Kluyveromyces lactis: one gene and its partners. The main gene of each other region encodes a partner of the protein of the gene in region 6 in a complex. Links are inferred from orthologs where the notes say so. Each region holds a gene or a part of one and is shown on either strand. Other genes may lie near its edges. The genes, in order: MRP10, RSM25, RSM19, RSM28, VAR1, RSM26 and MRP13.

Region 1 (3,884 bases), about 1.1 Mb from region 6:
CTTTCCATCAAGATGATCAAGACAAGTAAGGGTATTGCAATTAAGGCTCTAGTGAAATCCGACAAGGAATCGTTGGCAGAAGACTTATCAAACAACTTGATATAATATATGTACATTTGAAAACAAAAAAAAAACCTATATATATATATATCTATCTAAGATAGCAACATAAGTATTTCTCAGCCGTAAATATAACGAAGTTCTCAGTCTGATAATCGTATTTCAGCCGCTCGTTGTTCACCCCTTATCCTTTAGACCTTATCTGAGACTTCGAGATGAGAAAGTCACAATTTTAAAGGTTTGTTGGAATTCGAAACATTTTGTTTACATCACGCATGGGAAACAACAAAAAGGAAAGGGAAAGAAAGATAAAGCAAGAGCAACAGTTCAGCCTTTACAAGTTATATACCTGCTCATAGACCAATTCAAGATCTTTAAGATATCTACAAGGACTCACTAAGGCCTCTCGTTATTATATCAAGTCCTGAAACCTTCATAAACAAAAAAAAGAAAAGCTAAAGCAAACTCCCCTTATCTCTAAAACACCCTGATTGAACCACCAAGATGCGTTTTTCTGTTGTAACCAGTTACTTATTATGCGCTGCTGCATCGTACGCTAATGCAGCTTCTTTATTCGGATTAAGTTTCCCAGAACCACCATCAGCGAACAAACCGATCCCTGGTGACTCTCCTTTATTGCAATGTGATGTTGACCAATCTCAATCGCTTGATGTTACTCAAGTAAACTTGGTCCCCAACCCACCACAAAGAGGTGAGAATTTGACTATAGCTGCTGCAGGTGTCCTACAAACCACTATCGAAGAAGGTGCATACATCGACATCGAAGTTAGATTAGGTTACATCAAGTTAATCTCACAAACCTACGATTTGTGTGAACAATTGGAGGAGAACGACATCGACGGATTGAAATGTCCAATCGAGGAAGGTGTCTACGAGTTGAACAAGATCGTGGAGATCCCTAGCGAGGTGCCACCTGGCAAATACTCTGTCATTGCTAGAGCTTACAACGTCGACGATGAACAGATCACGTGCCTAACTGGTGAAGTAATCTTCCCAGCGTACTAGACACACCTGTCACAAAGGCTACCTGTCTCTCACTGACCTTACCCAGTGTGAGCCAAGTATAAGGTCTCCTCCTATAGCGACGTTGCAAAGCTGTGGAGTTCTAGGTCCATGTACACGTGACCGAACCGATTACGGCACCTTTTTACCCGTCTTGCTATATATAATATTAATTGAATCACAATTTGAATTGGTTGATCTCTCTCCTCCGTTACCCCAGGTTAGGAAGAGGTCCTAATTTGTATTACATATATCTAGTATACCCTCCTCTATACTATCCCTACCTGTCCAGTCAACAAACGACCACTGTCATCTAATAATGCTAAGAACTGTCTTCAACAAACCATCAGTGTTGAAATCTGGAGTTAACTCGATTACAAAGCAATGCCGTTCTCTTCACGCAAATGCTTACTTGTTGAACAAGGGCAACAGCAACGGTGCTGAGGGCCAAGATGACGATGTCACGGTGAGAATCAGAATCCCACCTATCAAGAGAACCGGCGAGTCTCTAGACAAGAAGCGTGCTAGATTAATTTATCAGTCCAGAAAGAGAGGTATTCTGGAAACAGACTTACTTTTGTCACGTTTTGCTGCTAAGTATTTAAAGGAAATGACCCCAGAACAACTAGAAGAGTACGACCAGTTGTTGAACGAACTAGATTGGGATATCTACTACTGGGCCACAGAAAACTATTCCATTACACCTCTTCCTGACAGATGGAAGAACTCCAATATTCTAAAACAATTGCAAGAGTTCAGTAAGAACAAGGATCGTGAAATCCTAAGCATGCCTGATCTTTCCAAATACTGAACATCAGCGGTATACGTACTTGCCAATTAAGCAACAGTATAGTCTATAGCTCTTATTTTATACCCATATGCTCTCTCTCCCTCTGTCGCGGCAGCTCATCATTTCCAGGGCAGGCCCAAGTGAAAAATTTAACCCGTACACCGCATACTTAGATCCAACATTGGCGAAAGTCTCAAAAATTTTGTTAAGATCATAAAGAATGATATCGTTTATATGATGGAAAATATCATAAATGTAGTCGCGTAGTCCGTTCTAGAGGTCTTGTAAGGTCGTGTTGCGAAGGGTACGTCCAAGATATCAAGTGTTCATATATTAAAGCATGTCCAGTAAGACTCCTCTTTATAAATTACCACCTCTTCCCAGACTTAAGGTGAAAAAGCCAATTATTCAACAAGAGGCTAACAGATGCTTGGTATTGATGTCCAATCTATTACAATGCTGGTCTTCTAACGGACACATGTACGGTGCATGTGAGACATTGGCCCAAGATTTGAAGGCATGTACCGCGGAAAATGCCTTAGGTAAGAACCAAAAAGTCCAGAAGAGTAATATCAACTATCATGCTGCTAGATTGTACGATAGAGTTGGTGGAAAATCTCATGATTAGAAAGAAGCAGACAGACTTTCTCCCCCTTCGTTATCACTTGTACATAATACCATTTTCTAATATTACATATATCATCTAAAATCAAGGAATTCACGATTTATTAAATATGATAGAGATTTTTGTAGCTATTTGTGAGTGGATTCATCTCAAACTTTTCTGGCGAGTCTGCCAGCTCTTTCCCACTCGTCTTTCGTTAGATACCATCCCGGATGGAACTCAGATGAATCATGCTGTTTGATGGTATTAAGGTCATTCTCGTTAATTTCGTTACAATGCATGTTAGAATCTCCTCTGTAATTGTTTTCAATTTCCCATTGGAAATCGCTATGTTCAGTCTCGGCCTTTGTCATGGAGCCTATAGGTTCTGGTATCCGTAGGTATGGATTTCTCAATGTGTTGTTTACACTGCCCAATGAAGTGAATCCCATCTCATATAATCCGCATACTTCTTCTCCCGAATACAATAGGAAACTCCATATCTGTGAGAGATTCCAATGTAGCAACGGTTGCAACCTGTAGAACTGGGGCCAACTGGGGTCCGTCTTTTGAATTGGTTGCAACGTCTCCCCAAATGGATCTGTGTGTCTAATGCCGATTACTATTGCCTGAGTCTCTGGATGTACCGATAAGAACGACTTGAAGGCACTTGGCATATCGACCTGTTTATCCTTCGCTGATTCGTATAACGATAAGTGATATCGCTCCACGCTCCGTTGTAAGAAATCTTGTGCCGTAAGAAAGGTATCCTCTTGATCAATGTATACAGTGGGTAGTTGCTGCAACGGGAACATGTGGAACTGGAGATCGTACTGTGATCCCTGTATTGACATGAGGAAAAATTCCCATAGACATCCCAGATATATGATTAGCAACACTTGACAATCCTTGCCACCGTTGTATGAAAATGATATCTCGCCATTGAACGGATCCCATCTAGTGAATATATCCTGCAGAAGGTACCGTCTACTCAGCTGTATCGATTCTTGAGTCTGTTTTATTACATCTCCGGTTGTGGCTACGGCAGATTCGGCATCGATCGATAAATACGACTGAACGATGTTGTAACAGTTCAGGGCAACGTCTTGCAACATTGCAGAAAACGTATCTGTATTATCGGTTCACACTATCTGATCTTTAGCGAAGTCCTAGACTTCTGCATTTACGGTAAATTGAATCAAAGTATATTGTAGTTGTGTCAAGAAGGTTTATAAAACCTCGAATTGCCTTTGAACGATTTTCATCACATAAGCCAAGAAGATTGAAAAGAGGTACAAAACAAAACCATTCCGTTTACCATCCGAATGATACCGCTCGTGACTTTATGTATTCACCATCAGCTACATTTATAGGTGTATTATCTATATTATCTTAATTATTTACATT
Region 2 (4,513 bases), about 630 kb from region 6:
GTACCAACAAGAGATGCTGCTCACAAAATTGTCCGGAAAATTATGGAGAAATCAGGGCTTGATCAATTCGATAAGAAATCGAAATTTGAGGATCAGTTCTTCGAAGATTCGTTACCTCCTACTTCAAAACCTAAATCCTTTCAGCATATTTTCCAGGGTAACACAAATGATTTCTTCGTATTGGGTCTCAAGTTCACTAGAAAATCCCTAAAGATATACTCAAACTTTTATCAGTCCGATATCATTATATGCTCTCCGTTAGGGATTCAATTAATTCTTGAAAACACTGATAAGAAGAAAAGACAGGATGATTTCTTGTCGAGCATTGAAGTCATGATCATAGATCAATTGCATTCCATTGAATATCAAAACGCCATGCATGTGACAACAATTTTTCAGCATATCAATAAAATTCCGGAACAGCAACGGGAAGCAGATTTCAGTCGAATCAGAATGTGGTATATTAACGAACAGGCAAAATTCTTCCGCCAAACAATAGTCTTCACTAAATACATATCACCGTTTGCCAACTCAATCTTGAATGGGAAGTGTCGTAATCTTGCTGGAAGATGGAAAAATCATAGGAAGATAAAACCTGAACAATCAAGCATTGGTCAATTAGGACTAAAGGTTAGACAAATATTCCAAAGATTTGATTTAGCAGGAGGGACAGCTCTAGATGAACCTGATTACAGGTTTAAATTTTTTACGAGTGTCATCGTTCCGTCTATTGTGAAATCTACTGGGTACGAGGATGGTATATTATTATACATTCCTGATTATACCGATTTCATCCGTGTTAGAAACTATTTGAAAGAAAAAACTACAATCATATTCGGAGAAATCAACGAGTACTCTAACCAGAAACAATTGACATCCAATAGAGCAAGATTCCAACACGGAAAGGTGAAGGTCTTGTTATACACAGAAAGATTGCACCACTTTAGAAGGTACGAAATAAAAAACGTCAAGAGTGTAATTTTCTACAAGCCTCCGGGAAATCCTGAATTCTATTCTGAAGTTGTTCGCAATATTGGTAAGAACGTATTTTTAGGCAACTGTGATATCAACATTTCAACTGTCAGATGCATATATAGTAAGATGGACGGTCTTTCTCTAGAGAGAGTCGTAGGATCTAAACGCGCGGCAGTATTGGCTCATGGCCAAAACGAAGTGTACGAGTTTAAATAGAGTGGATCAAATATGCCATAAATAATTAGTAAACCGAAAACTTACGCAATCGTTCTCCTTTACTAATAGCTTAGAGTATTAAAATATGTTGCACTTTTCAACTTCTTTGTTTGTTGTAGAATTTTGAAACTCAAAGTCAGATTCAAAGAGTACATATTAATTCTTAATTATTTGATGCAAAGAGACAAGCCCGCAAACGAATCCAATAGCCGCCCGATAATAGATTAAACTAATTTTATACTTAAAATATAATTCTATAGACCTCAGAGCCGGTCAAACTTGCTAATGAGAGCTTTCACCTATAGCAATTGTGACTTATCTTTATCTTTTCCCTTGGGTTTATCAACTGTTGAATTGCGAAACTGCCATGGCAATGCAAGCTAAAGACACATAAGGACTAGCTCTTTCCCCAATTCTCGCAAACTTCCAAAATACTCCTAGTATACCGCTGTCCTTATAACGATCAAGGAGCGATGGTCTTTGTGCATGAATATATGTGCACGAACATATGAACAATAGTATAACTTGTAACAATGATTTAAAATTGAATAGGGCAGACATGTTTTTCAGAAAAGCTAGTGACCGTGAATATTCTGCCGAAGAAAATATCTACTCTGAACCTTTCAAAACAGGAACGAGATGAAACCTAAGGTTCATCAGTTATCATTCCACTGTATTGAAAAGAATAAAGGAACTTACGCTCCCCATACACTTAGCTCTTCGATCTTTAATTTTGGTGAAAAATGTTTACTCTTCACGTGATCTAAAAATTGAATGCTTCTACTTAGAAAAATTTGAAAAATCTGATCGACGATCCAAAATGAAATTATAGTGAAAAGTTGAAAAGTTCACAAATATGCTGTATGAACAGCTCCAGGACAACAAGTATTGGATCGATTGCTTGAACCTGCGAGTTTACTGAGATAGTATAGAGTAAACGGGCCATATAAACGTCAGATATAAAATGAAGGTTCAGCAAGAAGCCGTTAATGTACTAGAACGTACATCCGCCTATTTGAAGTCTGGTATTTTGAAGAAGACTCCAGCTTGGTACAATGTTATAGCGAAGGTACCACCAACAAAGAAGTTTGCTAGAACCCCACAACTGACACATCCTATGAACGGTAAATCTAGAACTGCACTACCTGATTACAGCAATTGGAAGGCCAATTCTTCAGGATTATACAAAACTAGACCAAATTCTTTGGAAAAGAAAGATGGTGCATCGAAGCTATATCAGTCCCCAAAATTAGTATATATCGAGGATAAATTGAGAAAATTGTTCTTCCAGCAACATCCATGGGAACTTTCAAGACCTAAGATTCTTGTTGAGAATACCCTAGAGACTCAAGAATATGACTGGTCTCATATCCAACAACTAGGCAAGCCATTGGATGGCGAATCAGTTGTACAAAGGACGCTTTTCCTATTAAAATCAGGAGAGAAAAAAGAACTCATTGATGCATATGATCAAGCTAGATTCGAGTTCTACCGTCTAAGAATACAACAAGAAATTCAAGATCAAGTTGCTCAAGAAGAAGCCGAAATGTTCGGTTCAGTCTTCCATACCACTTCAATAGAATACGGAATTGCTAAGGAACAAAAGGTCATTGACACATGGAAGAGAAAGGCCTTACAGCAAGCTGAGTTGATGGCTGCCAGAGCAAGTAGTCCTTCTGCTTCCTGGACAAACGAGACCGAAGAAGAACAAAAACCTATTGATCAAGATGTTGAGGAAATTCAACTATGATCTTCCACAATTAAACACAACCAATGAACACTATTCCCGTCAGAACTCTGAGTTTTACTGTCATTATTGTATAAAAATTTCATGTATATATAAGTCACTATAACTATAAAGTTACTCATAGTTAATTCACGAATTGAAAGTACTTTCATGAGCATCACAAAAAGCATAAAAGATCAAACTAAATGGGGTGTCTTTGCATTTGACAAACGTCAGTTGTCACCCTACTACTATTTTTTTATTTCTCCCTCATAAGCTGAAACAAATGAGTTCTCTGTTTCAAATATTTATCGAAGTTAATAAAATCTCGTATCTCTACAATTTTAAAGTTCTTCTTGATCTTTTGGAAGAAATGTTTGTCCGCTTTACGCCTTTTCTTGTATGCCATTAGAATAATTGGCACATTCTCCCCATCAGTTAATTCTAACAGTGTTTTTTCCAATAATGGGAAAGCAGCTTCTAAGTACACACAGTCCGCAGCTAGCACTAAATCAACCGGTTTCTTGACAAATACATCCGGCAAGGGATTCCCCCACCATAACACCTCGGCGTGAACCTTATCATCCAATCCGTTGACTTGAATATTAGATTCCATGAGACCAAGCAGCTGATCAATGTCAGAAATATAAACTTCACGATCTGAATATTCATTCGCTTGATCCATTAGACCAACACAAAGCCCAACTAGACCTGTACCACTACCCAGTTCCAAAACGCTATTGCAATTCCCATCTGGAAACAAATGACTTAGCAAATGTTCCTTGTCGGATTTTTCAAGGATATATTCGCATAGCAGTTCACCTGCTATCCACACTTTACCTCCGCATCCGGATTCACCACCATCTTCATTGATTATAAGAGGACTCGGCAGTTTTCCATTGAAAGACATATCAATTTTGCCCAGATGCTCAATTGGCCTAGCTGGCACTAGTTCCTCAAAACAACTTGAAAACGGCACATCCCCCATAATGAATGCCTTACAGGTCTCCAACACTGTTCGCTCTTTTCGATCTCTCGTCAGCACTTCTAAAAGTGACATCGACTGTTACATAATATGGAATTTGTCTACAGGTTTTCTCGGAATAGTCGTATTTTTCACTCTTTTTTTAGAGTTTACAGACTAAACTTCTTCATGATGTGAAAAAAAAGGACATCCAACGACAATATATTCCATTTACAATACGATGTACATTGTACTGAATCTGCAATTGAATATGTTCTCTCTATAGTGTATAAATAAATGAAGGCTATGAAACTTCTGCTGAGGTGTTATGCATGAAAAGTCTGTAGACTATAGGTGCGTCAGTTTTTTTATATATGTACTTTTTTGGCCGGCTTTTTCTCTTATGCTTGAGACACTAGGGACAAATTCTCATCAACTTGACACATTTCCACACCTGTAGCCAACATTTGATCTTGTAGTGCTGTCTTTATAAACGGAATGACTTTTTCCATATCACTTGCAGTGTTTTTTGTTATACCCGAATAATTCTCTGGGAAAATCAAAACTGAGTTTAAGTCTTTCAAGAAGCGATATTGAGGTGTTTTCACTAAAGTATACTTCAAGAAATCATG
Region 3 (3,844 bases), on a different chromosome or scaffold from region 6:
CTTCAAAGTGTCTTCAATAGAGAATAATTCAGACAACTTTTCTTCGTCAAGGTAAGCAGATGGTTGATAACCATCAATGTCACGACTGAGGTCAGTGTCAATATGTTGTGACCAGAATTTCTGTTCACCCTTACCAACTAGAAGGTTAATTGCTATACCCTCAGTATTAGCCCTTGCAGTTCTACCACAACGATGAACATATTGTTGAGAGGAGATCGGTAGATCATAGTTTATCACATGAGTAATTTCATTTATATCGATACCTCTAGCCATTATGTCCGTTGAAATTAAAACTGATTTCTTTTGTTCTGAGGATGCAAATTCCTGTATTAGTTTTCTGCTACTACCCTTCGAGATGTTCGAATGAATTGATGAAAGGAACATATTATACTCATCTTCAATTATTCCTGATCCTAACATGGCATGTAATAAGCTTTCTAATCTGATCGAAGCTTCGTTACTCTTCACAAACACTAATATTTTAGCGTTTCTCGAAGCACTGCTCTTGATGTCGTGTATTATTCTTAGTAAGAGTAGTGGCTTGAACAGACTCTTAGCAGTAGGAATATTGACATTGAGTTCTTGCAATTTCTTAGGTATTGAATATAATTTAACAGAATCTGTGAGGAAGATCTTGGGGTTGTGGAGATACAAATTGTACAACTTTTCTGCATTCGTAGTCAAAGTAGCAGAAAAGACCATTTTGATTACGTTTCCTGGACGTTTATCCTGCTTATCGTTTGTCAAATGGTGGAAAAGCACTTGGTTCCAATTTTGGAATGACTGATTTAATAGTCGGTCTGCTTCATCAAGGACTAAGAACTTCAAAGTTTTTAGGTCAAATGATTCCATCTGCAAGTGATCGACCAGTCTGCCCGGAGTGATGATTAGAATGTCTGGAGAGTTATACAAAAATTTGTTGTGTTCTTCTTTCAAGGAGTTCTCGAGTTTCGACATTGATACATTGAGACTGGTCCCTTGACTTAGTTTAGAGAGACAATCGTAGACTTGATGAATTAAAATTTTAGTAGGAACCAAAATTATTGCCCTAACTTTATTCACTGTTCTAGATCTCAAAATTTGAACCAAAGGGACAGAATATGCTAAGGTCTTACCGGAACCAGTTGATGCGTTTACTAATATATCACCAACTCGTCTTGTGAAAAGTTTTCTGTTTGCTTTAAAAGATGAGTTTAGAAGCGGGAGCACTTTATCGAATAGAATGGTCTGAATAGGGAACGTTTCAGATGAGAAATTGGAGGTAATATTTTTAAGCAGACGTGCATCTAATTCACCTTCGTAGCTATCGAATTGTTTAACCATTTTACTATCGTAATGAATTTTGGTTGCTGCATCCCACGCAGTGGATTTATATGTAGACGGATCTAGAAGCTTCAAGGCTTCATTGGTCACTTTGGCCGGTTGAGGAATTGGGGTAAGACTGTGAACATCTTTCATGGATACGTCCTCATCGTGTACATCGTTGTCACTACTGACCTTGTCTGAAGCGCTCAACGCACCTTGCAGGGAAAGAGTCTGTTGAAATCTATTTAATACGGAACTGTGCTTTGCATCAACTGATTGCTGAGAAGTTTCTGTAGGCGCAACAGATGCAACCTTGTTTTCATCTTGCTCACTAATTGTATCGGAATCATCCTCACTGCTGGAAGCATCATCCTCACTGCTGGAAGCATCGTCCTCACCAGAGCCTTCATCATCAGTTTCCGCATCTCTTTTCCTCTTTTGGGGCACAGTGGGTTCTTTTATTTGTGTGACTTCAGCTGTTAGTACATTTTCAGTCACCTTAGTAGGATCAAACCTTGCAGCAAACATGTTATTGACTGGATGCTATCGTTATGCTGTCGCTATGCTGTTACTGACCTTCTAAATTCCTGAAGCTCATCGCATCATATTACATCTCATCGCCATTCGTCTATTATTTTATTTCAGAACGGAATTCATAAAAAATTTCAATCTGTAAAACTTGAAATAACGACAAGATATAATAGAGTTAAGTCACTACCATGATATCAGTCAGCCAAAGGTTCCAGCAGTTAGACAAATATCTCGCGTCTACGATAACACTCATAACGTCATAAAATGTTCCCGTCATTGAGATTACTATCACGTTCTGTATGGAAAGGTCCAAATATAGTCCCATTACCAATAAAAGAAGCATTGGCCAAAGGTACGCCCATTAGAACAAATGCCAGATCTGCCACCATATTACCTCAATTTGTCGGACTGAAATTCCAAGTGCATAATGGTAAGGAGTATGTCGCGTTTGAAGTGACAGAAGATATGGTAGGAAGTAAGCTAGGAGAATTCGTACCAACAAGAAAGAGATTCAGTTATACTCAAACTAAGAACAAATGATTTGACATTTATGAAAAGCACAAAGTTAGTCAGACAGCAGCATGTATATAAAATCACACCTGGAAGTTCATGTACCACCGTGTACTCCATACGTAACTGTATCTATTACTAAGAAATGATTTATTGAACAAGTGCTCTCGATTAATTGGGAGTTAATGGTGTTTCTCATTGTTAAATAGATGCAAATGTTAATCATAACGAGTACTATATATAATAATTGAAGTAAAATAGAATATACACTCTTTACTTGAGGTTTCTTTTGAATTTAATTTATGATTAAGTTTGTGGACTTTTTTCAACCACTAGATCTTTCTCCACCGGATACACCACTTAGTAGCTTTTCCTCTCTAATCGCACCAGTGCGATCAATGACAGGCCAATTTCCCCAGTTCGGTAACCGCAGAATTACGCAAGTAGCATTATCAGAATGTTTAGAGCTAATAGCCATAACATATTGTAAAACTTCCTGAGCACAGAAGTGTGGAGAAGCAGTTTTCAAACCTCTATTGTTCACTGTGGAGGTGATGAGATCACAGAGTTCTTGATCGCTCATCAATTCAGTTACTCCGTCTGTCACTAAACATAAGAAACATTCATCACCACCGAACTGCAATTTTGATCTTTCAGCATGTGGTAACATTTTGGTTGGTCCAATGAGGTACGAATAAATGTCCGGCTCGCACGTTAGACCATCACGTTTTCCGATCCGATCGCCAAAGGATCGTGTATTTGCAAAATTGTTCAAAAATCTAGTATCACCGAAGGAGTCAGTTTGGAATTGACCTCCAAGTCTTCTGGACTCTCTACTTGATGAAGGATGATGAACTTTAGCCAAAGAATGAGCAATACCATTCTTGTCACAAAGTATAATTTTAGTGTCACCGATTTGAGTTACAGCCAGTTTTAGTAAGCCCTGTGGTGCAATGAAAAATGATTCATCGTAACATTCTTCTTCATTATAAGAGGTTAAAAAAAGGCTTGAAGCAGTCGAGCCACCAGTGAATATTTTCATTGCTTCTTCTGGTTCTAAATCCGAAGAAAATCCACATATTTCATTTAAGTCATAATTGAGGTAGGATATGTACAAACGTAAACGTTCGTATTCACTCAACAAGCTTGTCTTGTCAATAATGTTTCCCCATTTGTCAAAGATCATTCTTGCCCCATTTTTTGGCGCTACACCGTCCGTGAGTAGGACTTGCTCCACTTTAGTGTTACATTTTTTGATATACCTCTCATAGTACTCCTTTCTACCTTTGTATATCCTCGACCAGTACTTCCCCCCCACTAAGTCCTGATATTTTTTTAATACAGCGTCAAACTCTTGTCTGATGGGGACCATAGCTGTTATATGATCGTGCAAACCTGAAGCCAGCATCTTAGAGACACGATCTCCTCCATGACCGTCAAATATAGAAATATTCAAAACGTTTCTCTGGGGAGGTAATTCTTTCCAAAGTTTCATCTT
Region 4 (4,403 bases), on a different chromosome or scaffold from region 6:
GAGAGAAAGCATGGTCAATCCACCAAATCCAGAGCTTCCACCTGATCAACAGATCAAGCTTATGAACGATGTTGCACAGTTTCTAAGACAAAATGTCGTTCAAGGTAAGAGGACTAAGGATGACAAATATCACTTGAACATCCATAAGGACACTGAATTGGGTGACAACGAAACTATCAAGACTACTAAAAAGACACTGGCGGCCCAAGGTGGCGGTTGTTGTGGTGGTGGTGCTGGCTTGTACAAATAGGCAGCTGGAACAGAATAGCAAATTATGAGGCAGATTGATGACCTGTCTTTCCCCTGATTTCGTCCTTTCTGAAGGGACTCTATTACTCGACTACTAACTCTGGTGTCTTTGACCCCAGATGCGTTTTGCAGTCCCTGATATGGCGCATTCTGTTACAGTATTTTGCTTATACACAATCATTAATTTACATCTTCTTTTTCTTTTCCTTCCCCGTCAGGTTTCGTGAACCAAATATGGGAACTTTATCATGTACATAACGAATTATGTTGGTCAACGGTCTCTATTATTTAATCAAACTCTATTTTATCATTTTTACTATGCAACTTCAAGGCGTTTACGTACGGTGCCTACAGTGCACATTGTAATTCCTAAGTTTACATCTATATATACGTTCGTGTGTGTCATCTGACTCATATTAGGTTCCATCCAATTATTTTTTCGTTGTCATATATATTTCATTCCATTAGTTATGTATGACCGATAGAGAACGACATGGTCAAAGCTATTGGGGAAAACAGAAAGTGCTAAGCTCGATTTAACTGAACCATTATGAACACCTCGCATTCGCAGGAACCTAAGGACAGAAGTGTGAAAATTTCGAAAGCATTGGCTTATTTGCTGAGACATGGTGCTGTGAAGGAAAACTTGCCTATAGATTCTGATGGTTACATTGCATTGGATAGAATACTGCAGCATAACAGACTCAAAAGCTTGAAAGCAACGTCAACAGAAATACAGCATATTGTTGCTAGTAATGACAAGCAACGATTTCATATCAAAACTGATCCGAATACAGGGATAATGTACGTCTGTGCAACACAAGGACATACATTGAAGCAAATTGCTCCATCGCAACACGTTTTAAAACCAATTACCAACATAGAACAACTATCAAGTAAATTGGTTCATGGCACCAACGTATCAAACTGCATTTCAATTCTTCACTCAGGTTTCATCAAAAAAATGTCACGGAACCATGTTCATTTGTCTCCCGGCATTACTGGAAAAGATACGGATGTCATCAGTGGAATGAGAAGTTCTAGTAACGTTTACATCCATATCAAAAGGATCCAGGAAATGCTAGACAGCCTCAACCTTGTGAAATCATTAAATAATGTTTACCTAACTTCTCAGGACATACCGTTGAAATTTATTGATTTCATCCAAGTACGGAAAGGCAGATCTGCAGCATCTAGTGAACAACTTCAACAGCTAAAAAAGTTGGCTACAGAGATGAAAGTTCCAATCGAGATTATCTGAAACGACTTGATCGCTTTATCTATACATATATATATCACCTCTTAATAATTAATTGACTTGTTTTAGACTTTCCACTGACAACATCAATTTTTAGACGAGGCATATCGCTGTATGTACTCGCCGTTGTATTAAGTTCATATCAAAACGTCAGAACCCACCGAATGTTGTATTCCTTCTGTCATCATAAGAAATTTAGATCACGTGTGTTTTTATCATTTTGAACGCCTTGAAAATTTTTGATCTTTCATAAAACCTATGAGAGTGCGAAACTCGTTTCAGTATGATGAACTTGATTAGTTCTTATGGTATCACGGAGATATTTAGGTATAGGGTTGTAATAAACCAGGTAACGCTATATCAAGTTGTGATCTGTTTAAGTGTGTGACTAGCATTAATATATTTACTTAATAATGCTAGCTTCTACATTCTCTAAAAGGGCTTATAGCTCTGTCTCTCCGGACTTTTTAGCATCAGTTTTGCAAAGAGTGAAGGAAGTTCCTATCAAGGCAAGAGAACCACGTAAACCAAGATCTGACAGAAAGGTGAGGTCAGCTGGGAGGGAAGATAAGAGACAAACAGCAAGATTTGATGACAGATCCGGAGGAAATAAACCCAGGGATAATAGACAAGTCCGTAATGGTCAAGACCGTGGTGGTAAAAATTTTAGAGAAAGAACACAAAGAACGGATACTAGAGGAACCAATGGCCCGGTAGTACAAACAGGTACGGCTAAAAGACAGACACCAAAGATTACCGGTACTAATGAGTATAGTGAGATTTCAGGCAAAGTTCAAAATTTGGGTACCAGACAGAATCGTAGAAGCGATGAAAGGAAAACTCGTAAAACCGTTCCAGGGTTGAAAATTTCCAGTAATTTGGGATCGGAAAACGTTGTGCAAAATATTCACAACTCGGCTGTATATGTTCCACAAGATCCAACACCGTTATCGTTGCTAAGATACAGACCTGCTCTGGCTCCAACTTTCAGTGCAAGGACATTCAGATATGCAGTTTCAACACTAAAAGACGCCGACTTCCCTGTGCATCGTTCATTGAATGATGGTGTCACAATTAATGGAAAGAACGTCAGTAAGCGTATGACAGCGAACAAAGACAACTTTGGTGAATACGTGCCAGCTTCCATTTTGAAATTGCAGGTGGAACCGTTGACAAAAAACATCCAAATTTCTCCGGATCTAGAAAAACTTGAGCAATCCGTCAAGGGTAGTTTCCACATTCTCAAGCCATACACAAAGAAGGACTTTGCCAAACTAACAAAAGCAGAAGACAAAAGAGAGCAACTTCTGCAAAATAGCGAAATTGTGAGAAAGAGTTTAGAACAAAGCAACTTGGCTTCAACTGAAAAAGAACTTTTGCAAAAAGTCTGTTCCGGTTTGGCACCAGTCTCTGAATTGACAGCTTGATTACAAGCCAGATCGCCTATAGACAAGATTAACCTCTATTTTTCATGTATATATTTTCACAATGCACTTAATGATATATCACACTATTTCACAGTTCTAAACAACGTTCGATATTGTTTATATTCTGAGTACGATGCCTTAAAATTCCTTTCTTAATCTGTAGATTATATGTTGATTCGTCTTTTCGTCTGAGTAACGGAAATAGGAAACCCGATAACACTGATATTTGAATGGTTGGGGGTATTTTTTCCAAAATTTCTATAAGTAGCCCAGAGTCGTTTATACAACACGTATTCTTGTTAAGGAATTGACTAATGACCCTAGTATTGTTGAGACTTAGATAGTGATCGATAACTTTCAGCACTACCTTATCGTTGGCTTGTAACAAGGACTCCACCGTAGCAAAATCATTCCGTGATAAATATATATCAAGTAGTTTTTCGAACCCGATCTTTTCCTTTAATACACTGATATCTGTGATCATGATTCGTAGAACGAAAGAAGCATCGATATCATCAATAATAGAACCTTCTTTTATATTTAAAGCCTTTTCTATTTTCAGAAGCTTGGTCCCTACATCGAAGCAACCCTCATATTCCTTTTTCTCACCCAGCTTATTTTTCAAATACTCTTTGAAAGGAGACTTGTTATATGTCATGTTGGTAATGTACTCCGTAATTGGTAAATTGGAACTTTCTATTAGCTTGCTGTTCAAAACAGTAAGTTTAGCTTTATAGTACTCGTAAAGAAATGTCAAATCTTGGGTGGAACTCGCACCCAGTTTTTCAAGCAAGAGAACCTTTGTATCAGGGTCTTCGATGGATGAGATGAGTCTTTTCACATCTAAGTTTAAATTGTTTATTAATTGTAAAACGTCGCTTACAGTGTCATCGTTATAATCTTTCAAAGCTGATGAAATATCATCAGTCAGCATTTCTTTAGAGTAAGTATCGGGTAGCTCTTGGAAATGAGTATTCAGGTAATTTATGAGCCTTTTTTGATCTGTTTGTCTTAGTATTTCGAGCAATGGGGTCACTTCTTTTGTCTTTTCATATATGGCTATTAAAGTTTCTGAATGTTCTTTTTTATGCTTAGAAAGCTCTTTAGCAATTTCTTGGTAACTAGTCGCCTCGTATTCATCAACATTTGAACTGCCTTTAGCGATGTTATCACGTAATAGAATTAAATCGAGCGATAAATAAACGTTCGCACTATCTTTTAAGCTATCGGAACACGTTTCTTTTAGTTGAAATTTCAAGTATTGTATGATGTTCAGAACGTCATTACACTTGTGAACTAGCTTCAATGAATGCAATTTTTTTGAAAATGCTAATAACCCATTAGGAATCCACAAATCTCCGTAAATGTCGAAACCAAGTAGGTAAATTAATACTCTGATATCTGCAACATCAATATATTTGAGCCAGGCATCGATTAAATCTTTATCAATGTGTTCCATATGTAATGTT
Region 5 (4,765 bases), on a different chromosome or scaffold from region 6:
GAGGAGAAAGGGTTGGAGGAGATGACACATAGAGGCAGAGTAAAGTGTATTAGTGATTATTTACTGATCAGAAAAGCGGTGATTGACCGATAACTTAAAAAGATCCAGATTCCTTATAAAACTAACTTCATTTGTTAAGATATAAAGAAGAATATAAAACATAAAAAAAAACAACAAAACAAAAATAAAGAGAAAATATTACAGAATAAATAATTAGGTAGCATCTGTGTAAGATAGTCTAAAGGGAGATAATGAAATATAAAGAATAGTTAATGAATAAATATATATAGGAAAATAAAATTTAATAACAATAATAAAATAAAAAGAAAAGAATAATCAATATTAACAAAAAGAGAGCGAGGAAAAAGATATATAACGATTATAAATAAAAAACTAGTGTCTTATTCTTAGAGTTAAGTACCACTTCGGATATGAGGGATAATAAGAGGAGGGGGGGGGTTTTTTTTTTTTTTCACCCTCCCCCCCCCCCCCAAAAAAAAAAAAAATGATAGTACGCTACGAACTATTTTTTTAAAAAAAAAAAAAAATCCCCCCCCTCCCCCCTGATGACATTGGGCTTGTACTTCATATTATTAATAGTCGTCATAATAAATAAATATATCTAGGACACATTATAATATATTTGACGGGGGGCTTTTTAGGATATACTTGGGGGGGTGCCACGGGTAGTTCTAATTCCCCGGCAATCCTATTTAGGATTGCCGCGGGCAATACTTATAATAGTATTATATTAATATTATATTATATATTTATTTATATATTTAATATAAAAAAGGTAAGAATATTATTGTTTAAAGATATTCTTATATATTGTACTGATGAGTTATACACCTCATCAGTAGAATACAATATATAAGAATAATCAAATGATATCTAAAATATGGCAGTACAACACTGTTGTTTCATAACCTACATGATGAGTAGCTGTTAAATGATAGTTTCTTAATCTTCAATAATTAATACCTAACATTGCTGCTAACATAACCATATGTAAGAAATGTAATCCTGTACCAGCATAGAATACTGATCCATATACACCATCAGTAATTGTGAAAGTAGCATTAGTATATTCGATATATTGACAAGTAACAAAAATAACAATTAATCAGAATGTAATTAATAATCCTGATAATGCATTTTTTCTATTACCACCTACTAATCCATGATGACTATATGTAATAGTAGCACCTGAAGATAATAAGATAATAGTATTTAATAAAGGTAATTCTGTAGGTTGTACAGCTTGAATACCAACTGGAGGTCATACACCACCTAATTCAATATTAGGGCTCATAGCTGAATGGAAATAAGCTCAGAATAATGCAGCGAAAATTAAAATTTCTGATACTACGAATAATAAGAAACCTAAATTAATACCTTTTCTAACAGCAATTGTATGATCTCCTAAATATGTTGCTTCAGCAATAATATCTCTAAATCATAATGTAGCACTTAATGTTACTGTTAAAATTGATAAATAAATTAAATACATATGTCCAATATATCCATGCATAGTTAAAGCTAATGATAATGCTAATGACATTAATGCAAATGATACTACAATTGGTCATGGTGATGGAGCTACTAAATGAAAGGGAAATTGTTGATGTCTACTTCTTTCTAAATGTGTCATAAATATTTTTATAATCTATACATTTATAAATTTAAATGTTAATTTAATTTATAGAAATAATATTACTTAATATATATATATAATATATATATATATGATAATATTTATATTTTAATATAATTATTATTATATTATACTTACTTATAAACCCCATTGCGGACTCCCCCCCCCCCGAAGGGAGGAGTCCGCAATGGGGAAAAGTTAATTATGAAAACTATTTATATATAGTATATTATTAGTAATATTAAATATATATCTAGTATCGCCAAATACCCCTATAATAGGGGTATTTGGCGATTAATAATTATATTATTATATATAATAGATCTATATAAATAAATACAATTCCCCGGACGCCTCGTCCGACCCTACGGTCGGACGATGGCGTCCGGGGTTTATATATCGATTCCCCCCAATCTCATAATATGAGATTGGGGGGGGGGGAAATAAAATAGATTATCTCTTTAATAATAATTATAAATAGAATATATTATCTTACCCCGCGGATCCTCTACTGGTATTACCAGTAGAGGATCCGCGGGAATTTATCTCTTTCCCGCGATATCATCATATGATGATATCGCGGAATATACATAATTTATAAAATATATAATAAATATTTTATTTTATATTTATAAGTAGTAAATATAATAAACATGTTAAATTTTTTAATAATTTAATAATAATATATATATAGTTTTATATATATATATTATACGATCAATATATATAAATAAATATAAATACAATGAATAAACATACAACAAATTTAAATATTATTAAAAATATTAATAATATAAACAATTTAAATTCTATAAAAGAATTATTATTATTATTAAATAATAAAAGATTAAATAGATCTTTAAATAAAACTTATATTTGAGATTATTTAAATGAATTAAGTAATAAAGGTGTAAAATTACAACATTTAAATAATATTAATTCTTGATCATCTCAAATTTATAAATTTAATAAAACTGAAGAAATTAATAATACTATTTATGATAGATTAGTAACTAAATTATTAACAAAATTATTAGTATTAAATATTAATAATAAAATTTATAAATTAATTATTTCTAAACCTATCTTTGAACATAGTATTAATAAAGTTAATATTAAATTTTTCTATTATTTATCATATAAAAATATTAATAAAAATATTAATAATAACAATAATTTAATTAATAATATTTATAGTAATTATAAATTTAATATTAATAGTAAATTAATTAATTTATTAAATAATAACATTAATAGTATTAGTAATATTTTATCATTATATTATAATAAAGATGTATCATTTGAACCTATTCAATTAAAATATAATTATATGAATAGTGATATTTTAGCTAAATCATTAAAAATTATGAATTCATCTTCTAAAAGAAGTTTATCAATGAATAGAATTAAAAATTTAATGAATAATATGCCTAAATTAAATGATAAATTAATTAGTCAAACATATATTAATAATATTAATAATATTATGTTTAATAAATATAATAATATTATTAAATCAATTAATAATAATAATAATAATAACCCCGCGGACTCCTCTCCTGGTAATCCCAGGGGAGGAGCCGCGGGGAAATTATATAATATTATTTATGAAAATAATAATATTAATACTATCCCTAATAATATTTTAATGTTTAAATATTTAGTAGGATGATCAATTCAATTAAAAGGTAGATTATCTAATAATAAATCTATTTCTAGATCTAATACAATGAATATTTTAAATGGTACATTCCAAAACTATAAATATATTTGAGGTAATCAAATGGTTAATAATTATAAATTAAATTATATCCCTGTTAACCATAATATTACTAATATTTCTGATGTTAATAAAAATGGTAAATATAATATTAAAGTTAAATTAAATACTATTTAATTTATTAATTAATAATAATAAATAAATAATCAATATTCTTCCCCCACGCGGCATTACCCTAGGGTAATGCCGCGTGGGGCTTCTTTCTTTATATTATAATTATATAATTATATAATATATAATAAATTAATATATACATATAATCCCCCCTTCATATTATATGAAGGGGGGGGTAAAAATATAAATATTTTATAATATATAATAAATTAATATATATCTTTCCCGCGTTCTCCTTACTATTTCCTTAAGGACCTCTAAATACTAATAAAAATTAATTTTATATTATTAATTTTATATATAAATAAATATATAATATACATTTTCCCGCGGGGTATAATACTTATTATTAGTATTAATAATTTATTTATTTATTTATTTATTTATTTATTAATTTATTTATAATACTTTTCCCGCGGACTTATTCCCTGGAATTCCAGGGAATAAGCCGCGGGGTGTATAAATAATTTTATATACTCTTCTCCCGGGGACTCCTTCCCATAAGGTGTATACCTGGGAAGAGTCCCCGGAGTTAATATAATTAATAAACCCCACCCCCTTTAAGGGGGGTGGGGAGGAATACGCAATTGGGGGAATTTATAATAATTATTATATAATATTATTATATAGATATAAGTAAGTATAATATTATTATAATAATAATAATAGAGATTAGCTTAATTGGCAGAGCATTCGTTTTACACGCGAAGGACATGAGTTCAAATCTCGTATCTCTAATATATATTAAATATATCAATTAAAATATAAAAATTTAATAATAATATATCAATATACTTATTTAATATTATTATAATTATTTATAATAATTTATTATTAATAAGTTTTTTTCCTAATTGCGAACTCATCAAAACATTAGTTGGATGAGTTCGCGGGAGAATAATATATTAATCAATGTAATATCTAATATATAGAATATATATAGATTAAAAAAAATTATAAATATGTTTTATTTATTAAATTCAATTATTATGAATGATGTACCTACACCTTATGGTATGTATTTCCAAGATTCAGCTACACCTAATCAAGAAGGTATTTTAGAATTACATGATAATATTATGTTCTATTTATTTATTATTTTAGGATTAGTATCATGATTATTATTTACAATTGTAAGAACTTATAGTAAAAATCCTATTGCTTATAAATATATTAAACATGGTCAAACTATTGAAATTATTTGAACAATTTTC
Region 6 (4,319 bases):
ATTTCTTTATTGATGAACGCGATGTGTTAGCGATAGTAAGTTTTCTTGCTTATCTAGAAGATACAATAGTGAATCCTGATGTTACAGCTATAACAATACAGATTATTCAACAGGAAAAAAAAGTGGAAGAAGGGATATATTATTCTAAAACTCTTGAAACAAACCAATGCCTTATATACTTTTCAGTCGGCCCACTCATATCGCTATTCTTATCCCCTTGCTTTCTTCACCTGGCAATTTATTTTAGTCACAAGATCTACGCAATTTTTTCCCTCTCCATTGCAGCACTGTCATACCAAAAAAAAAAGATGAACATGACAATAATAGAAACAATCTTTGTCACAACAAATATCCACTTTAGTCCAATTAAGTAAAATCGAGAATAGTAAACAAAAAATGGAGTTGTACGCAGATACAGCAGAAACCCTCAAAATAGAAGCCGTCATCCCTCAAATGGCTCTTCCCAAACAATAAGCAAAATCTAATTATCCAGTCATTTCTTCCTGTTTCTGCGTAATTCCATACCCGCATTCGGTTTGGCCATATTAAAATGGAAGCCGGCTATTTTACAAACAACACCTACAAGGACATATGTTGCTTATACAATGGAGCTAAGTGGGCCGATCACAGATTGCTCCACCTCAGAACCTTCATTGACACTTTATGACAGGTTGGAACGGCTGAAACATGTAAAAAACAAGATTAGCTTGTTAAATTCATATCTGTAAACCTAGCAGTAACAATAAAAGCAAAACAAACAAATTTTTCCTATTTGAATTCCAATAATAGAAAAGTTAGTGGATTCAAGGTTCAAGAGCTCTTAAAACCGGCCAATGAAAACCGTCCCATGTCGATTACTAAAGTTGGCATAGATCACGTCAGATCTATTTTGATGCCCTTTGGGGATCTCTCGAAGGAGAAAATGGAAAAAAAAGACACATGCACCCATACACCACATCATTAGTAATTTCCATGATCTCTCTTTTGGTTTCCGTGGAGATTCCTGGAAAAGCGTCCGATGACGAATGTGAGATATATTGGGCACCACTCGTGACCGTATCTAAGGAGGAAGGGCGCAATTCTTAGTTGCATATTTTATTCACTTAAAAGTGACAAAATTAGGTCGGCTTCCTGTTTGTAATGTGTTCCGTTCTATCCTTCACTATCATATATGATAGCGTCGTTGTCAGTGCCTTCAGTTCCATGAGTTGCCACAATGTTGTCTGAATGAACGATTCGTGGTGTAAACTGGATTGATTGCGAAGAGTTTGGTGTTACGGGCTGACTGTGACTTTGAACATCTAATAGCATACGGCTCGGACTTGGCTCCGTGTATAAAACCCGTCTTCTCTTGTTTGGGGGAAGCACCGGTGCTGCGGCTACTGCAGCAGCAGCAGCTGTCGCACTTGAGGAAGTGTTCGTAGGAAGAAGATTGTCAGTGACAGCAGTTGTTGGGTTTTCTGCGACTATAGTTGTGTGACAGCTATAAAAGTTCCCAGATTCATTAGTCTTAACCCAAACCAGTTTATTCTTCGAGCCCACTGGCTGTTGATGTTGTACAACAAACTGCCGTGATACCTCGGGGATGATTCTTTTCTGGGAGTTAGGATTCTGCTTTTGTTCTGCATCCCAATTCCAGAACACACCGATCCTGCATCGAAGAAACACCTCCCAACGGGCATCTTTACTTCCAACGGCTGCATTTGCTACTAATCCACTCTTCAACACTTGCACGTGACGTTTCCGTTGAGATTTCACGAGGAAATTGCTAAAGGAACCATCTGAGTGGGTTCCGTTGCTGGGATCGTTGTATGAGACAACTGCATCGTCTGAATAGTCCTGGTAACCTGTGTTCATAGCGTCATTAAGTAATACCACCACCGTATTGTTTGAAGTGGCGTATTTAGTTATGGTGACAAGCAATTGTATCAAACTTTTCACCTTGAAATCGTGCAAGGTCTGTCGATGGTTAGAATATCCACTGTTCTTCTCGTACATATGGAGATACTCTACCAAAAGCTGAGATAAACCATCGATTATTATGAGCCCGTACGTCTCTTTTAAATTCTGAAACATGTACCACAGTTGAGCAAATTTCTTCACTCTTGCGAATTGGCACCCTTTGAAATGGACTTCGTCCTCATCTCCTTGCTCTATAAGCTTCAGTGGTACTTGCTGGAACGTGTCAATCCACAGACATTTCATCCTATTCTGATTATTGTTCACTAATTGTACCGCGAACTTTGTCTTGCCAATTCCTGGAGGTCCGTAAACCTCGTAGATACTCTGTGGTTGGAATCCGTCATTCAATGAATCGTCTAAACTCTCAATGCCACTTCGTACATGATCTGCACGCGCTTGTATCAGTTGAGACAAAGGTACACCAAATGACATTAGAATGCTATCAACTAATCACCAAACGCGTCCACAGTTTCTCCTGGTTCTTCAAGCCTTTCAAGACTATGTATAACTAGCCTTTTAAATCCGCATAATTCACCTTTAGGTGTAACTAAAAAATGTCATCAAGTCCGTAGACAACTCAGCTCAATAATGTTTGTTTTATTTACCAGGTTTTTGCTGTGATTATGTTATTCAAAAATATAAAATAAGAAAAGATAAGAGGGAGTAATAATACTTGAATTTAATCATTGAAAGAATTGAAATTAAAAACTCGAAGGTTCTTCCCACGAATCTCCTTGTCTACCTCTTGTCGGATTATATCCTACGGGTGTATCTTATTTGGACTTTATTGATTATTAGTCTAGTTCATTAAGCTAGAGAAGATAATGAGTTCCGGGTAACATTTCAAATCTTAAAATTTTTCTTAGCATTCAACATTGCCGAACAGGAAAAATTGAAATCATTTCGACTTGTATCAATTCATGAATCTAAAATGCATAACTAGAAAGTCTACTATTTCTTGCTCAATGCATCCTATTTACATTCTTCCTAGAGTTTCGGAACGATTGATATAATTGAGGCAACTAACTAAAAATATTTAATGTCAATGTTTGGGCGTCAACTGTTCAGAGGAATACACACAGTTCCAAAGATACCTGGTATTTCACAACTTTTGGATTCAGGCATCCCTCATGTTATGAGCGCTAACACATTCAAAACTTGCTGGGTTGACCAGCAGCAGCTTTTGTGCGATAAGCTAACACTGGCATCTGCAGGAACTGCCGCAGAATCCTACTTGCCATTCCATTTAGTACTGCACACTGCGAAGAAATCATACCAAACAAACATTTTCAATTTGGCTAGTGCTTTGCACAATAACCATTTGTTCATAGAAAACATATTGCCTATGGAACAAGTTACACATCCATCTCGTGAGTTTCTACAGAAGCTAGAATCACAATATTCAATGACTTGGGATGCTTTTAAGGATGAAATGGTTAGACATGCAGAAGAAGATGTGTTAGGTCAAGGATGGCTATTCCTTGTGGAAAATGATGCCAAGGAACTTCACATCCTAACAGTTCAAAATAATGGTACTCCATACTACTTTGCTAGAAACCAATCTTTCGATTTGAACAGTGCTCTATCCTTAGAAGAAATGGAACAGTTTGTAACGATGAGAGATCTACTTGCCGCAAATGCAGACGTTAAAGATTGGACAATGCCTTTGATTGCGATCAGTTTGTGGGACCATTCATACTTGAATGATTACGGTATTAAGGGCAGATCCACTTACGTAAGGAAGTGTTTAGATAACTTGAACTGGTCTGCGGTTAACAACAGATTGTTCTCCACACAATAGGAGTATACCAGTACTTCCAATCATAAATAGACTGTTGGCTCTCTTTAAAATATGGGTCTTAATTACATGTACATAGTCACAAATGCAATATAACCGTTTGCGAATAGCTCACAATCCTCTCTCATTATTAGCGTATCTCTGGTTGATATAGGCAAGAGCGGATAAGGTACGGAAAACGGTATTCAACTAAAACTTCAACATCAAGTATAAAATACTTCCAAAACTCTGAGGAACTTGAGAACTCGTCCTTGTTAGCTCAGTTGGTAGAGCGTTCGGCTTTTAAGCATTGCTCGCAAGGAACCGAAATGTCAGGGGTTCGAGCCCCCTATGAGGAGTTCTTATTTTTTCGTATTTGCAATAACCATCATAATATTCACTGGCCGGGAATGTTAGGTTTAGTACATTCTGTTAAATAAAATTCCTAGTAGGAAATAGGCACCTGGCGATGGATAATCAACTCTGTGACTGCTAAAAGCCGCTTATCGCTAATCTTTTGTTTTTCTTTCTTTCTTGAAGTGTTCTGATTTCTATTTACTTATCTATGGACTGATTGATT
Region 7 (4,469 bases), on a different chromosome or scaffold from region 6:
ATCTTTGGGCGACAACGCAACTCTTTTTTTTTGTTTGGAGCTTTCGCCTAGTGAAAAATTCATGATAATTCCCAATGGATGGAAGAACAGCTTGACCTAGGGACTAAGTTACAGGTTTGATGTAGGATTTTTTTTCATTGAGGTTTTTCAACATTGGATTCACTATACGTTTAGGTACATCTATTACATATTTAAAAGTATTCTCGTATTAGTGGTCTATTTCTTTTATTATTTGTAGGTTTTATTCCGCTGTACACGTCAACCCACAACCCCATAGTCCAAGATGTCTGCTAAAGCTCAAAACCCTATGCGTGAATTGAAGATCGAGAAATTGGTCTTGAATATTTCTGTTGGTGAATCTGGTGACAGATTGACCAGAGCTTCCAAGGTTTTGGAACAATTGTCTGGTCAAACTCCAGTTCAATCCAAGGCTAGATACACTGTCAGAACTTTCGGTATCAGAAGAAACGAAAAGATTGCTGTCCACGTTACTGTTCGTGGTCCAAAGGCTGAAGAAATCTTGGAAAGAGGTTTGAAGGTCAAGGAATACCAATTGAGAAACAGAAACTTCTCTGCTACCGGTAACTTCGGTTTCGGTATCCAAGAACACATCGATTTGGGTATCAAGTACGACCCAGGTATCGGTATTTACGGTATGGATTTCTACATTGTCATGGGTAGACCAGGTGCCAGAGTCACCAGAAGAAAGAGATGTCAATCTAAAATCGGTAACTCTCACAAGACTTCCAAGGAAGACACCATCGCTTGGTTCAAGCAAAGATACGATGCTGAAGTTTTGGACAAATAAACAACCCATTTAAACTGAAAAAGTGTCCTATCTATCGTTTTATCAAAGCAAGAATATTATTATATCGTAATATATAGATAAATTATTATTTTTACTGCAAATATTAGAATATCTATATTGTTGCCTTTTCTAAATTGTCATTCAACGTCAACCGCCAGCGGTTATTCAATGAATCAATTTCCTGTCTATGAGATTCTTCCATGTTAGTTCTGTATTGAGATAATTGTTCCAACTGTTGTTTCTGAGTTTCTAGCACACCTCTGATCTGTTCTGTAACTGACTTCAACATTTCTTCTTGTACAATAAGCTGTTTCGGCAGCGTTTTGGATATCAGTCTTTCGAGACACAATTCCTGGTGCTTCAAATATGCGTATCGGACTTCTGCGGACATTTCTGGTCTCTCAAGCCATATTTGACTTCTCCATTTTTCAATATTGCCATCCACATCCTCATAAACATTGAAACTTTCCCTCAAACAGCCGTTTACTTCAATTTCTTCTCGAAATATGTCTGCCACCTTGCTGTGTAACGTCGTCTCATCGCTGGTTACACCATTGGCTTCAAGAGTAATTTTCTCGAGATACTCTTGATATCCCAACTCAGTATTCATTTTCAGTACAGAGTTCATGTTTGGTCTGGTTATTTAGTCTTTTCGGAGCTGGAATTAGCGAAGAGTGTTTCTTAGAACAGCTTATCGATGATTGCAATTAAGCATAAGTGCCCCAATGTCTTTATGCATAGACAGGTTTTTAATATGGTTTTTGATATCATCTTGTACGTGTTGAAAAATTTCATGTTTTCAACATTTCTATGTAGAGCGGAAACTAGCCAGAGGAAAGCTTGAAGATTGAATCACCACATCACAGTAGAAAAACACGCTTCATCAGCTGCAATCATTGGGATAACTCATCGGTTATTGGCAGAGGTAACACAATTAATACTCTGATTTGGTTGAAAAAGCCAGCGGTAGGAACAAAGGTCTGATTTTAATCCTCATATAACAGTCAAAGCAGCGAATGTTCTCTCGGTTTTTCACAAGATCGGTTTCAACTGGTGTAGAGTCTCGTGCGGTCTTTGACAACTTCTTACAATTTGTCAAGACACCACAGACTCTAAGACCATACATCTACCGCAAAAAGAATGCTAACCGTTTGTTGGCCATGGATTTGAAAGATCCAGAAACTAAACTTCCTATTCAACCTAGACCATCAGTGTTAAGACCAAGTGCATCAGTTCTCAATAGCGTCATATTGAACGCATCGTCAGCTGAAGAGTTGGAAAACATGGTTAGAGATTGGAAGAATATCACACCTAGAAGGAAAGAGTTCTGGAGTTATTTGATTCCCCAGCATCTACAAAACATGTTGTTAACTTCCACTTTCAAGTTTGGTGCTTTAGGAGCAGTTTTGAATGTTCTGTACCAAATACAGCCATTATTGGTGAAAGCAAAGCAATTAGAAGCCTATAACGTAGATGTATGGTATAATACTGTATTGATGTGTCAATTGCATAGAAATGCGTTCCAAAACGTTCAAGATTCCGGCATGGTAGAGAGAGGCCTAAGGAAGTTATCATCGACTGTTACCAAAAGAGAAGATACAACTGGTTTAACAAAGGAAATTGTTCAAGCTTTGGGTAGACAACAGAACGTTGAGGTGAAATTACCTAATTTCGCTAGAAATATTGAAATTAACTTGCCATCGATCGATGTTAGCACTGCAAGCCAAAATCAATTAAGGACTTTCTTGACAAAGAACACCACCCAGTATTTGTTGAGCAGAACAGCATTAGACTTCGGCTCAACTGAAGCTAAGCTGCAACAGTTTGTTGAAAACTATCAAGCCGTTTTAGCGCAAAACTCGGTTGCTGACATTTACGACAAATACGTATCCCAATACAAACAGCTGTTAACTCAAAAGGCTACTGAATCTGAAACGACAGAAGAAGCTCATGCAGATGCACAAGCAGAAGAAACGAAATAAAGGATAGACTTATCCGTAACCAATATTTCCCAGAACCGTTCATGTATATATATATAAGAATCAACGTCAGTTAAGAATATTACTAGAAATTCAAAAAACATTAACAAAATGACCATAATTCATAAAGAAACTCACACAATATACTTCTATTATATAATTATTGATGTGCCGTCACGGATTCATCGCAAATTGAGTAAATGTTCGTCAATTAGCGCCTGGTACCATGTCACTCCCGCTAGCCAACTCGGGCACTGAGTTTGTTCGATCTGCAAGGAAATCACCGTCAACGAGTTTTCCATCATTCTTTTTAAGAATTTCAATTTTGGTGAAATTATTCAAAAGCTGACATAAATACCAATCGATGATCTCGCAGTTCCTGTGATCCAACGGAAATCTATTGGCAAATAACGGTATACTTTGAGGTATCAAATCACCAATAATGACAGGAGGAGCTAAGGAGGCTTCAGGGAAAGAAACTAATACTGAAAAGACGGCAAATGCACAAGAAGGAGAAAAACCTTTATCTAATAAAGAGTTGAAGGAACTGAAAAAGAAGGAGAAGGCTGCAAAGAGAGCAGCCAGTAAGCAAGCTAGTGGTATCTCTATTGAAAAACAGCAGCAGCAAGCTGCTGCTAAGCGTGAAAAGAAGCAGCAACAAAGAGATCTCTTAGCTGCAAAAAAGAATAAAGCAGCCGACCCGGTCAAACATGATACCAAGAAGTCGACTCTATTTGGTCATCTAGAGACTGCTGAAGAAAGAAGAGCTTCTTTACTTGCAGTTTCGAGTGCTATCACTTCTACAGGTACCTCAAGGATTACTGCTAATGGGTTAGTATTGCCTTTACTTGCTACTACACCCGCGGTTGCGGTTTCCCAACCAATGTCTGCATCTCCTTTGAGTTCAAACCTTTCTGGAAGCAATACTAATTTGGCAGGTTTGGCTCATTCAGAAGATTTTGAAGCCCATCAAATGCTAAATTCCTTGTCCCTTGATGAATCGTCTTCATTTGTCCCAGGAATATCATCCGTCATTCCAAATACCATGACTTCACAATTTACAAATCAACAATCGATTGCCTCTGTAAAAGAATTGATTGCCAATCGCGAAATGTTACATCCCGCTATCACCTCTCTGACTTTGGATTATGCATTCTATAAAATTATAGGTTCCATTCCTCGTTGTATTGCCATGTTAGAGGCATTCCAACTGGTTGTCAGAGACTACAAGACTCCAGAAGGTACTACTCTTTCACGTAATTTGACAAGTTACCTGTCCCATCAAATTGATTTCTTGAAGAAGTCAAGACCATTGAGTGTAACCATGGGTAATGCCATTAGATGGTTGAAGCAAGAAATCTCTCTAATCGATCCTTCAACACCGGATTCAAAGGCCAAAAAAGAACTTTGTGATAAGATTGCACAGTTCGCTAGAGAAAGAGTGCAGTTGGCTGATCAACTTATCATTGAAACAGCTTCACAACATATTGAAGAAGGCAGCACTATATTGACCTATGGCTGTTCCAAGGTTTTAACTGATTTATTCCTACACAACGCCATAAATTTCGGTAAGAACTTCCAAATTGTTATAGTGGACAGTAGACCTTTGTTTGAGGGTCGTAAAATGGCAGAATCTTTGAGAAATCAAGGTCTTAATGTTTTGTATGTTCCCATTACAGCAT

The links.
Region 1: RSM26 (region 6) and MRP10 share a complex: the UniProt entries of both Saccharomyces cerevisiae proteins name them as parts of the mitochondrial small ribosomal subunit. The link is inferred for Kluyveromyces lactis from reciprocal best matches to the Saccharomyces cerevisiae genes RSM26 and MRP10.
Region 2: RSM26 (region 6) and RSM25 share a complex: the UniProt entries of both Saccharomyces cerevisiae proteins name them as parts of the mitochondrial small ribosomal subunit. The link is inferred for Kluyveromyces lactis from reciprocal best matches to the Saccharomyces cerevisiae genes RSM26 and RSM25.
Region 3: RSM26 (region 6) and RSM19 share a complex: the UniProt entries of both Saccharomyces cerevisiae proteins name them as parts of the mitochondrial small ribosomal subunit. The link is inferred for Kluyveromyces lactis from reciprocal best matches to the Saccharomyces cerevisiae genes RSM26 and RSM19.
Region 4: RSM26 (region 6) and RSM28 share a complex: the UniProt entries of both Saccharomyces cerevisiae proteins name them as parts of the mitochondrial small ribosomal subunit. The link is inferred for Kluyveromyces lactis from reciprocal best matches to the Saccharomyces cerevisiae genes RSM26 and RSM28.
Region 5: RSM26 (region 6) and VAR1 share a complex: the UniProt entries of both Saccharomyces cerevisiae proteins name them as parts of the mitochondrial small ribosomal subunit. The link is inferred for Kluyveromyces lactis from reciprocal best matches to the Saccharomyces cerevisiae genes RSM26 and VAR1.
Region 7: RSM26 (region 6) and MRP13 share a complex: the UniProt entries of both Saccharomyces cerevisiae proteins name them as parts of the mitochondrial small ribosomal subunit. The link is inferred for Kluyveromyces lactis from reciprocal best matches to the Saccharomyces cerevisiae genes RSM26 and MRP13.

The regions. Positions count from the first base shown.
Region 1 is NC_006041.1:1,177,237-1,181,120, forward strand, and holds MRP10 (mitochondrial 37S ribosomal protein mS37), read left to right. Parts: upstream 1-2,213; coding exon 2,214-2,501; downstream 2,502-3,884. Other genes in the region: SEC21 (coatomer subunit gamma), read left to right, coding at 1-105; NPC2 (sterol transporter), read left to right, coding at 565-1,086; succinate dehydrogenase assembly factor SDH5, read left to right, coding at 1,403-1,894; FAD1 (FMN adenylyltransferase), read right to left, coding at 2,648-3,592. UniProt on the Saccharomyces cerevisiae protein: Component of the mitochondrial ribosome (mitoribosome), a dedicated translation machinery responsible for the synthesis of mitochondrial genome-encoded proteins, including at least some of the essential transmembrane subunits of the mitochondrial respiratory chain.
Region 2 is NC_006041.1:742,990-747,502, forward strand, and holds RSM25 (mitochondrial 37S ribosomal protein mS23), read left to right. Parts: upstream 1-2,155; coding exon 2,156-2,941; downstream 2,942-4,513. Other genes in the region: rRNA-binding ribosome biosynthesis protein UTP25, read left to right, coding at 1-1,191; KSH1 (Ksh1p), read right to left, coding at 1,534-1,752; EFM6 (putative protein-lysine N-methyltransferase), read right to left, coding at 3,177-3,977; FAP1 (Fap1p), read right to left, coding at 4,283-4,513. UniProt on the Saccharomyces cerevisiae protein: Component of the mitochondrial ribosome (mitoribosome), a dedicated translation machinery responsible for the synthesis of mitochondrial genome-encoded proteins, including at least some of the essential transmembrane subunits of the mitochondrial respiratory chain.
Region 3 is NC_006042.1:666,030-669,873, forward strand, and holds RSM19 (mitochondrial 37S ribosomal protein uS19m), read left to right. Parts: upstream 1-2,100; coding exon 2,101-2,376; downstream 2,377-3,844. Other genes in the region: putative ATP-dependent RNA helicase DBP6, read right to left, coding at 1-1,833; type 2C protein phosphatase PTC6, read right to left, coding at 2,672-3,844. UniProt on the Saccharomyces cerevisiae protein: Component of the mitochondrial ribosome (mitoribosome), a dedicated translation machinery responsible for the synthesis of mitochondrial genome-encoded proteins, including at least some of the essential transmembrane subunits of the mitochondrial respiratory chain.
Region 4 is NC_006039.1:1,052,550-1,056,952, reverse strand, and holds RSM28 (mitochondrial 37S ribosomal protein mS46 RSM28), read left to right. Parts: upstream 1-1,920; coding exon 1,921-2,934; downstream 2,935-4,403. Other genes in the region: MZM1 (Mzm1p), read left to right, coding at 1-250; TPT1 (tRNA 2'-phosphotransferase), read left to right, coding at 800-1,510; CORVET complex subunit VPS3, read right to left, coding at 3,023-4,403. UniProt on the Saccharomyces cerevisiae protein: Component of the mitochondrial ribosome (mitoribosome), a dedicated translation machinery responsible for the synthesis of mitochondrial genome-encoded proteins, including at least some of the essential transmembrane subunits of the mitochondrial respiratory chain.
Region 5 is NC_006077.1:35,428-40,192, reverse strand, and holds VAR1 (ribosomal small subunit protein), read left to right. Parts: upstream 1-2,387; coding exon 2,388-3,554; downstream 3,555-4,765. Other genes in the region: COX3 (cytochrome c oxidase subunit 3), read right to left, coding at 845-1,654; COX2 (cytochrome c oxidase subunit 2), read left to right, coding at 4,487-4,765. UniProt on the Saccharomyces cerevisiae protein: Component of the mitochondrial ribosome (mitoribosome), a dedicated translation machinery responsible for the synthesis of mitochondrial genome-encoded proteins, including at least some of the essential transmembrane subunits of the mitochondrial respiratory chain.
Region 6 is NC_006041.1:116,811-121,129, forward strand, and holds RSM26 (mitochondrial 37S ribosomal protein mS42), read left to right. Parts: upstream 1-3,001; coding exon 3,002-3,763; downstream 3,764-4,319. Other genes in the region: putative DNA-dependent ATPase RAD55, read right to left, coding at 1,153-2,394. UniProt on the Saccharomyces cerevisiae protein: Component of the mitochondrial ribosome (mitoribosome), a dedicated translation machinery responsible for the synthesis of mitochondrial genome-encoded proteins, including at least some of the essential transmembrane subunits of the mitochondrial respiratory chain.
Region 7 is NC_006042.1:771,896-776,364, forward strand, and holds MRP13 (mitochondrial 37S ribosomal protein mS44 MRP13), read left to right. Parts: upstream 1-1,824; coding exon 1,825-2,790; downstream 2,791-4,469. Other genes in the region: RPL11A (60S ribosomal protein uL5), read left to right, coding at 284-808; KLLA0_F08283g (uncharacterized protein), read right to left, coding at 921-1,436; GCD2 (translation initiation factor eIF2B subunit delta), read left to right, coding at 3,230-4,469. UniProt on the Saccharomyces cerevisiae protein: Component of the mitochondrial ribosome (mitoribosome), a dedicated translation machinery responsible for the synthesis of mitochondrial genome-encoded proteins, including at least some of the essential transmembrane subunits of the mitochondrial respiratory chain.